2 linked regions of the Arabidopsis thaliana genome follow. The protein of the gene in region 1 binds, or shares a complex with, the protein of each later gene. Each region holds a gene or a part of one and is shown on either strand. Other genes may lie near its edges. The genes, in order: RRP41 and RRP4.

Region 1 (5,601 bases):
ATATCAGAAGTTTCTTTTGATTCATGTTTCAGATGGACCGGACATACCTTAGATCACCAAAGGTGGTTGCAGTTCTTGATCATGAACGGAAAAGAACATATGTTATCGGAAAGGAAGGACTTCCAGACACCGGTAATAATCGCACAACAACTCGTTTCGATTACTTGTTTGTTGTATATGATATGATTCATTAATCGTGATGGATGGTACAGTGGTGTGGAATCCATGGGAGAAGAAATCGAAAACAATGGCGGATTTTGGTGATGAAGAGTACAAAAGCATGCTTTGTGTGGATGGTGCAGCAGTGGAGAGACCGATCACTTTGAAGCCAGGAGAAGAATGGACCGGCCGGCTAATATTGACCGCTGTTAAATCCAGTTTCTGCTTCGATCAACTCGAACTACAGAGCAAGGGATTCTGACTCTAGTTTCTGTATGCAACATTGGAAGAGCAGAGCCACCGTTTCTTTTATCTCTTTCTTTTTGTTGATTCTTGTTTTATCACATTAGAGCTTATGACCTGGTGATTTCTCAGACCAGTCTTGTGATGTAGTGACAGAAAAAGCCTCTGGTCTTTTTTTTCCTCGGCTTAATGTAAGAATGTGAGGACAAGTTGTGTTCAATCGATTCAGTTTGATCTTTTTACCAAATTGATTCATTTTTCCCAAAAAGAGTTTGCACTACTAGCTTTTTATCCTCAACTTCCACAAACAACAGCAAAATCTAATTAACAAAAATCTTGGAGCTTTACGTTTTTTTCTCTAACTCTAAAGTTTATGCAGCTCGGCGATACTCTAGCTGTTTGGTGTTTTCTTGAAGTACCTTCACAAAGACAGAAGAGCCAAAGACTTAGAAAACAAAGAACGCTTTTCAATGGTGGAAAGGGAAAACTTAGAAAGATTCAGAAGTCCATTGTTACCTCGCGTATTCTCTCTGCAATTGCCTTGCAACCTTCAGAAGCCAATGCAAACACTGTCTCAAATGTTTCCATCGGTAACTTGGCATCCATCTACACATTAAACCCAAACGTAAGCGTCTAGAATCATCTGAATGCGAATGTATAGAAATCTGATATGAAGAGTTGAAGAAAAACCTGAAGGAGTGACACTTTGTCTAATTTAGGTAGAATACCGACGGTTACATCAGCTCCTCCAGCACTGTCTTCAACATAGTTCAGATCAAGAAGAGGAGTACTGTTTAAATATCCAGCACTACAGGAAACAGCGAGATCACGCATTGGAATTCCAGCATCTGCTAGAGCTAGAGTCGCGGCATTGATACAAGCTGATCTTGTTCCTGATTACAGAACATAACACTAATGGCTGATCAGAGATTGAAAGAGATCAAAAGGTCAACTTCAGAACAGAGGTTTAGTTTAATTTTACCTCCATCAGCTTGTAGAACCTGAAGGAAAATATCGATCTGCATAAAGGAAACAATTCATCAGGAAGCAAGCAAAAGGAGGAGGAAGAAAGAAAATTTAGATTTCAATATCGCCGGAGAGTAAAAAGTAAACCTGAGAGTGAGGCATCAATTCGGTTAATATGCAAGCTTCCATTGTCTGACGGATGACAAGAGATAGCTCTGTTGATCGCCTGACCATCATAATACACAACAATTCAAACTTTATGATTTTCGTAAGAAAAAGCAAAGAGTCTCTCAGCTATATAGTAAAATGTAACCTGTCGAATTTCTGTCTTCTACGATCACCAGTACTAAACTGAGCCATACTATACTCACACAACACCTACCAAAACATACAATTAGCAATAAGCATTCCATATTCACCAAGAACAATACTAAACAAGATCAAAGCATATACATACCACTGCATGGTCGTTCTTCTTTTGCTGGCTCTTGTTTTGAATCTGAAGGAGCACATTAACAGAAATAACCAATTCGCTGAATTATACAATTAAAGTATCAATCTTGATAGGTGAGTAACAGAGTAATCAAGTACCTCTCTTGGACCATAAACAGCTGCAATTACTTTGGTATTACCCATCTCGAAGACAGCAGAACTGGAAACAAAGTTGGAATTTTTGTTCATATAAAAGTGCCGAATATAGAACTGAGATACGGAAAAAGATAAGAGACAGATTTTGAGTTTTACCCGTCAGCCTTAGAAACAACTCCAACTTCAGCTACGATTTGCCTCATCTGAGATTCATTACAAGCAATCACGAATAGACCGATTAACTTGTGAAGGCAGTGGCTTACAAAGACAGTGAATAGAGATGCAAACATACCTCGTTGAATCGGCGACCATCTAATCGAAGACCTTCAGGGTTTACGTACTCCATTGTTGTGAACTCTAGGTAGAGATAATCAAGGATGAGAGCAATGAAAGACAGAAACAGAACAAGTTTAATACTTTCTGATCCCACAGAACAGGGAACAAGAGACGAATTTACCTCTGCCAGTACTTTAGCGGCGGCGATATGACGGAGGGCGATGGACGGCGTCGAGAGAACTGAAAGAGTGTCGACAACATAAAGATTAGGGCTTTTTGGTTCCTTTTTGTGAATTAAGTGAGATTTTAAGGGTAAAACCGTCAAATCACAGGAGGATTTTTTTTTATAACTTCTAGTTTATGAAGCCAGGCAAATTGGTAATTCGCTTGCAAAGAAAAGTAAAGCTCAAAATTGCGGGAACATGCATGCAATAAGAGAATTAAGAGTGAGATCCCTTCAAAAGTATAGCTCAAATTGTTGTTGTTTTCTTTTATCAAGGCTTTTCTTGTTGACTCTGTTATTTCAAGTATGTATTAGTAATAGTAATATAGTATCTAGATCAATTTCTAAGTCAATAGTATATTGATAGTAGTATCAACGTGTCGGGAGTTACGTGTGGCAATGCCGACAAATGAATGCAAAGTGAGGTATATGAAAATGACGGGTTCCTGACGGAGGAGATGATGGAATTATTTACTAAGGTTTGCTAACATCTTCTTTTTTTATGTATGTATGTTTGGATCAAAAAGTATACAAAACCATATTAGACAATTTAAGAGAGACCACTCTCTAGTCTCTACCTAGTAAAAGTAGTACCTACTACGACTATCCTAACGAATGTCATGCAATTTAATGTTCCATATACAATTTTTTTTTTTTTAATATATTAAAAACAACCCAATAGGGCATGGGCTAAGACCCAATACACAGATGAAATCCAGTTACAAAATAGGTTAAACAGAAAAAGTCACCGACAAACAAAGAGGTTCGAACCTTGCTGCTGGTCGGAAGCAGAGTGGTCGGAGCCTTATATCTGGCGGACTCAAGCATCACAGCTTTGCGGCCGCAGACGACGGATCGAGAAACGCAGCTGGAAGATTCCGGTTTCCATCTGCACCTATCTCCGCCGTCGCACCAACCCACCACAACTCTCCCAGAAAGCTAACCACTCCGACTTACCGGTTCCGCGATATCTGTTCCATGCCAAGCAACCCGATACACTAGAGTTTAACCCCTCTCCGACTTAATGTTCCATATACATACTACTAACTATTATTAAATCAAACTGACTGTTATTTTTAAGGTCTAACTTTTAACACGAGTACCTGACTAATCCCACGTAAAAAAAAAGTCTTGAAATCACATGTATCTTTTTATAAAATCACAGGTGAATTCGTGTAAGTTATATAAGGTTCAAAATAAAACAATATAGAATTACTGTAAGTTACAAGATTTGGTATATTAACTTGTAGAATTATCGATATAATAAAAGCTTATTTTTCAATTATTATTTTAGGACCAAATCTAGTCAAAGCTCAACCATTAACTATGGAAATCTAATTTCTAGTTACCTTTTTAATAGTAGCTTTTTCTAATAAAGTTTCTGATAAGAGACTTGGTCTCCAAGCAAAAGATCATAAATTTTTTCCGAAATTAAAAATATATTTTAATATTAAAGACGAGATTTTATTACTCTTTCAAACACATCGTTAGATTCATTACCATTAAACTTCACAATTTCCATATTGGGTCAATGCGAATTGACACATACTCGTGACCAATCTCACACGCGTGGAGCCCACTAGCCGGCGCGTGTAGCAAACGTAAAACAGACCGCGCGTAAAAGAGTTAAAAGTTGCTTGGAGACCAAGCTATAGATTAGGACAATTGGCTCTACTTTCGGTACGGTAACTACCACGTGTCATAAATCTAACGTCTCAATCTGAGATGCGGAAAGCCGTTTCTGGATCCCCCATTGGCCGCCACGAAACCGCCCTTAAGCATCGTCCCTCTTTACATTAAATCCAAATCTAATTCCCGGTTTATAAACTCCATTAACCGGATTAAATTTCAATAGGTTAAGCTTTGATAAACGTATGTCATTTCACCAACTATATTTTAAGATACGTTTAGTTATAAGGTTGAATGAGTTTTGATTGGGTCAGTGTCTCATATCATATGAATAGTGTTGAACACGCATCAATTTCTCTGTAACAGTTAAAATCTAATTAAATTAATTACATAGAAAAAATCACGTTACTAAACAAAAATCTCCAAAAATAGTGATGAGTTAATAGTATTTAAGAAGGATGTTCCTGAGAAACGGCGATTCTTCTTTAACCTTTTGACTCTTCTTCTCTCTCTCTCTGCAAATTCAAAACAGTGAAAAAAACCTCTCTTCATTTTTTAACTCCCTCTCTCTCTCTCTCTCTATGGAGAGACGAACGAGACGAGTGAAGTTCACAGAGAATCGTACGGTCACAAACGTAGCAGCTACACCATCTAACGGGTCTCCGAGACTGGTCCGTATCACTGTTACTGATCCTTTCGCTACTGACTCGTCTAGCGACGACGACGACAACAACAACGTCACGGTGGTTCCAAGAGTGAAACGATACGTGAAGGAGATTAGATTCTGCCAAGGTGAATCTTCTTCCTCCACCGCGGCGAGGAAAGGTAAGCACAAGGAGGAGGAAAGCGTAGTGGTTGAAGATGACGTGTCGACGTCGGTGAAGCCTAAAAAGTACAGAGGCGTGAGACAGAGACCTTGGGGAAAATTCGCGGCGGAGATTAGAGATCCGTCGAGCCGTACTCGGATTTGGCTTGGGACTTTTGTCACGGCGGAGGAAGCTGCTATAGCGTACGATAGAGCCGCGATTCATCTCAAAGGACCTAAAGCGCTCACGAATTTCCTAACTCCGCCGACGCCAACGCCGGTTATCGATCTCCAAACGGTTTCCGCCTGCGATTACGGTAGAGATTCTCGGCAGAGCCTTCATTCACCGACCTCTGTTCTAAGATTCAACGTCAACGAGGAAACAGAGCATGAGATTGAAGCGATCGAGCTATCTCCGGAGAGAAAGTCGACGGTTATAAAAGAAGAAGAAGAATCGTCGGCGGGTTTGGTGTTCCCGGATCCGTATCTGTTACCGGATTTATCTCTCGCCGGCGAATGTTTTTGGGATACCGAAATTGCCCCTGACCTTTTGTTTCTCGATGAAGAAACCAAAATCCAATCAACGTTGTTACCAAACACAGAGGTTTCGAAACAAGGAGAAAACGAAACTGAAGATTTCGAGTTTGGTTTGATTGATGATTTCGAGTCTTCTCCATGGGATGTGGATCATTTCTTCGACCATCATCATCAC
Region 2 (4,222 bases), on another chromosome or scaffold:
AGAGAGATGATTTCATCTCCTAGTTGTAGCTTTCAGAAACGTGATTCAATCGCCTAACTAATGCAATCCCAGAAATACGCCAAAAAAAAAAAGTAAACTTTTTGCCTAGTAAATGTACAGAGATTCCTCAAATCTAAAGCGTACTACTTTCTGATTAAGTGCTTAATCGCAATGCAATTCAGAACCGTTACTGAATCGAAATTAATTAAAAACCCCAAATAATCGCACGATCATTCAACCCACAAACAATCACGAATACACCAAAATGGATTTAAAAAAGGCCGTAAACTGACCTTCAACGAAGACAATAGCGACTTTAAGGAGAACGGCGCCGGAACAAAAATAGCGGGAAATAAGATCGGTAGCGACAAACAGAGAGTGAGAAATCGAAGAAGAAGAATATTGTTTTGGGAGTGTGGAGCGAGCGAGAGAAATTGGCCGTAGAACACTGTTTCGTGAATGAGAGAAGAGGTTTGGTAATCGCTGTTATTACTTGGATTCTCATGAGGGTATTTTAGTCATTTCCCAATTATCCCTTCTCCGAGCTAAAAAGGGCAGCGAATCTTTTCTATGTTGTTTCTGCAACTGTAGATCCTTTCACAAAACGAATTTCAGCTACAAAAGTCGAAACCGATAAATTCATGAATGAAAGAAGAAAGCCGTCTCCAAAAGACATAACTCGACTAATCTAATCTGATGTACAGTTAATAGTATCAAACACATCCATCATACTACATATCTCAATCAGATTAAAATTCGAACTTTCAATAGAAGCTGAGTAACAAACAAGACCGAATGATCTAATACACGTTACAAGTCTCTGATACATCAGTGACAAAAAGGGGTAGTTTTCACTTTTTCCTCTTTGTACGTCTTCTTTCAGCTTCATTCTCTGCTACCACAACGTGAAACTCTGATCCAAGCATATCATGTATGTCAATATTCTTTGAGTTACTGAGGTTAACAGTCTCCATGATTACTTCTAGTGTCACGGTGAAGCCTAGATTAGACAAGACACGTATCGCATTCCCGATTCTGCATATGGTTTGTCGAGTCTCGAGTGGAATATGGCTTTGCTCTTTTCCTGTGGAGGAGGATGAGATCATTTCCTCATCTTTCTGATCATCTATTGCCATAGGATCTCTCACTTCGACATGTTCTCCAACCCATATGAAACCATTGCAGCCAATAATCAAATCAATCCCAAGACTTTCTACGTAATGAAAGTGATGTTTGCTTCTCTTAACCAAGTAAGGATCGACCTTCAGAAGTTGTCCCTTCTCGAGCTGTAGCGATTCATGGATTAATCAATGTTCAGAGGAAGAGACTAGCGAAAGGTATAACTACATGAGCATGTGACCAAATGAGAACCAACCTTGCCATACTTCTGACTTCTGGCTTGTAACTGCAAGCTACCATCATGCTGAAAGTTGCGTACTTCAGCCTAAGAGTTTGAACAAACCAAAGAGGGAACCCTTTTAGTCAGGTTGACGTAACTGTTAAGATATGTAAAGATTGGAACATTACTAATCACAGGACTTACACATACGACATCATGCTCTACAAAGATATTCCGCATATTGAGTTCATCCACAGAGGTTCTTCGCCTCTGGCAACAACAATAAACTTATATCATTGAAGCCAAAAGCAATCATCCAAATGGCAAAATATCAAGAATCAAACTGTACCTGAATACCATCAGGCATGTTCATGGAAGAAAGCATCAGTACTCCATCCTGATTGAAGTTGAGCTCCACTCTCCAACGTTTTTGAGCAACCTGAATAAGTAAAGATCAATCCAGTAACTGTGCAATGTGATTGAAACCTTTATGTTACTCACTCAATCCGATTTCAAAAATCCAAACACCAAAACAAAAATCTACCTCAATGACACGGCCTACCACAATATCCCCAACTTCAGGCTTGTACCTAAAACGTAGATCATCAAAACCATCAGTTCTACTTAATCTCAGAGTAGAGAGTCCATTCTATTCACATTTTCTGGGAAACTAAACAAATTCAAAGATCAATCACAGACCTGGCTCGCAAGGTGCGTACATAGACAAGCTTATCCACACGCTCCACTACTCCACAGACCGTCGCGAGCAACTCACCATCGACCTCGGAAGTTCCATGTCCCCTTTAATGAAAAAACCAATCGTGAAAACGCAATTTGACAAAAATTTCAATCCAGAAGGGAGAATGAGATGAAATTACTTGAGGAAGGCATCGTCATGGTTGACGGGAATAGAGTCGGTGACGATAACAGAAGCGTCAGAGTTAGCCGACGACGACAGTGATTGAAGCCGCTCGATTGCTCTCTCAAACCTAACCTTCTGCGTCTGGCTCAACGGTAACTGTAGCTTTCTCATCACCATCACAGACACTCTCTCTCTTTCTCTCTATTTAGCTCCAGCAACACAACAATGGCGATGCAAAACGAGTTTGGGACTTGGGAGAGAAGAAGAGCAAAAACCTTGACGTTAGTTCCCTTGAATGAATTCTAGGGTTTTGTGTTATTTGTTGGACTAACATATCCAACTTCTGGCCCATTTATAAAACTTCTGGCCCATTAATCTGATAATTGACGCCAAATAAAGTATTATTTATCTTCATTAAAAAAATGGGAAAAAAATTAGACGTCTCTGCAGCGACAAGCTTCAAGTCTTTTGTGATCTTCCTATTTCTGACGCTAATTCGAATCCTTCACTCTTCAAATTGATTCTTTCACGGATCAAACAAATTATCTGAGAGTACCGATTGGTAAGATCTGAGCTTTACGCTATGAATTTCTTCAAATCCGTCTTCACGGAAGACCTAGATCCTCCAGAAACCGAATCCGAATCCGATTCACCGAAACACAGCGAAGAGCATGAACATCCAGAGCAAGAACATCCAGAGCAATCTGAATCTAACGACGACGGTGGATGGAGCTTCGGTGGTCTGATGAAAACTCTAGCCACCAGATCCGAATCCGTGATTGAAACCTACCGACGAGATCTCGAAGAATTTGGCACAGGTTTGAAGAAAGAGATCGAGGTGGCTCAGGGATCGCTTGGTACGGTGGGACATGCGATTGATGAGCTTGGGAACACGGTGCTAAAAGGTACGGCTGAGATTATTGCTCAAGGTAAGGAAGCGATTTTAGCCGCTGGTAATGAATCTGATTCTTCTGATAACAATAGTAGTCAGAGTTTTGGTCGTCGTGATAGCTTCAGTTCGAAACCATATAGTCGTTTCGATGCTCAGATTCGTGCTGTTCAAGGAGATCTCAACACTTACTGTGAAGAGCCTGAGGATTCAGATGATTACAAAAAGTGGGAATCTGCGTTTTCTCTGGATGGAAAAGCTGAGGAGATGGAGAAATTGTTGGAGGAAAATGGTGATATGAAAGGAGTGTATAAAAGGGTCGTTCCGAGTATGGTTGATCACGAGACCTTCTGGTTTAGGTATTTCTATAGGGTTAACAAGCTCAAGCAAGCTGAGGATTTAAGGGCTAATCTTGTGAAACGAGCCATCTCTCTGGATGATGAAGAAGAATTGAGCTGGGATATTGATGATGAAGAGGAGAGCAGCGAGAAAGTTGTTGAAGCTACCAAAGATGTTTCAAGGTTGAAACTTGAAGGGAATGATGGTATGGGTGGTGGAGATGTGAGTGAAACTGTGAAAGATGAAGTGGAAAGTACATATTCAGTGGCTAAAGTGAGCACGCAAGATGAAGTGACAAGTGCAGATTCAGTGACTGAAGTGAGCAATGTTGGTTTGAAGACAGATAAAGATTCTGAGGAAAAGAAGGAGACTGATAGTGAGGAAGTTCCAGAAGAAAAATCATTTGTTGATGCTGCTCCTCCTGCGTCTGATGAGGCTCCAATCCAAGATTCTGTCAAACCAACATCTGATGAGGCTCCAATCCAAGATTCTGTCAAACCAAAATCTGATGAGGCTGCTCCATCCCAAGACTCAGCTAAACCAGATGTGGCTGCTTCTTCATCAACTCAACAACCATCTGAAGAGGATTTGGGATGGGACGAGATCGAGGATATGAGTAGCATAGATGGTAAGGAAACGAGTCGGTCTGGTGGTAGTCCAAACAGAGCTGAGCTGCGTAAACGTCTGAGTGCTGCAGAGGAAGATGAAGATTTAAGTTGGGACATTGATGAAGATGACGAAGAAGAATCATCATCATCCAAAGCTTAATGTTAGTTTTAAAGTGGTGTGCTTT

Evidence for each region.
Region 2: RRP41 (region 1) and RRP4 share a complex: the UniProt entries of both Arabidopsis thaliana proteins name them as parts of the RNA exosome complex.

The regions. Positions count from the first base shown.
Region 1 is NC_003074.8:22,800,609-22,806,209, forward strand, and holds RRP41 (3'-5'-exoribonuclease family protein), read right to left. Parts: upstream 3,497-5,601; 5' UTR 3,227-3,496; intron 2,585-3,226; exon of another isoform or gene 2,473-2,584; 5' UTR 2,414-2,472; intron 2,314-2,413; 5' UTR 2,303-2,313; coding exon 2,249-2,302; intron 2,160-2,248; coding exon 2,113-2,159; intron 2,021-2,112; coding exon 1,960-2,020; intron 1,868-1,959; coding exon 1,826-1,867; intron 1,747-1,825; coding exon 1,682-1,746; intron 1,595-1,681; coding exon 1,516-1,594; intron 1,422-1,515; coding exon 1,385-1,421; intron 1,296-1,384; coding exon 1,093-1,295; intron 1,009-1,092; coding exon 919-1,008; intron 822-918; coding exon 774-821; 3' UTR 613-773; downstream 1-612. Other genes in the region: AT3G61610 (Galactose mutarotase-like superfamily protein), read left to right, coding at 33-132, 213-421; CRF6 (cytokinin response factor 6), read left to right, coding at 4,666-5,601. UniProt on the Arabidopsis thaliana protein: Non-catalytic component of the RNA exosome complex which has 3'->5' exoribonuclease activity and participates in a multitude of cellular RNA processing, maturation and degradation events.
Region 2 is NC_003070.9:822,809-827,030, reverse strand, and holds RRP4 (ribosomal RNA processing 4), read right to left. Parts: upstream 2,515-4,222; 5' UTR 2,379-2,514; coding exon 2,218-2,378; intron 2,141-2,217; coding exon 2,039-2,140; intron 1,930-2,038; coding exon 1,884-1,929; intron 1,779-1,883; coding exon 1,689-1,778; intron 1,610-1,688; coding exon 1,544-1,609; intron 1,445-1,543; coding exon 1,376-1,444; intron 1,287-1,375; coding exon 852-1,286; 3' UTR 632-851; downstream 1-631. Other genes in the region: AT1G03350 (BSD domain-containing protein), read left to right, coding at 2,785-4,197. UniProt on the Arabidopsis thaliana protein: Non-catalytic component of the RNA exosome complex which has 3'->5' exoribonuclease activity and participates in a multitude of cellular RNA processing, maturation and degradation events.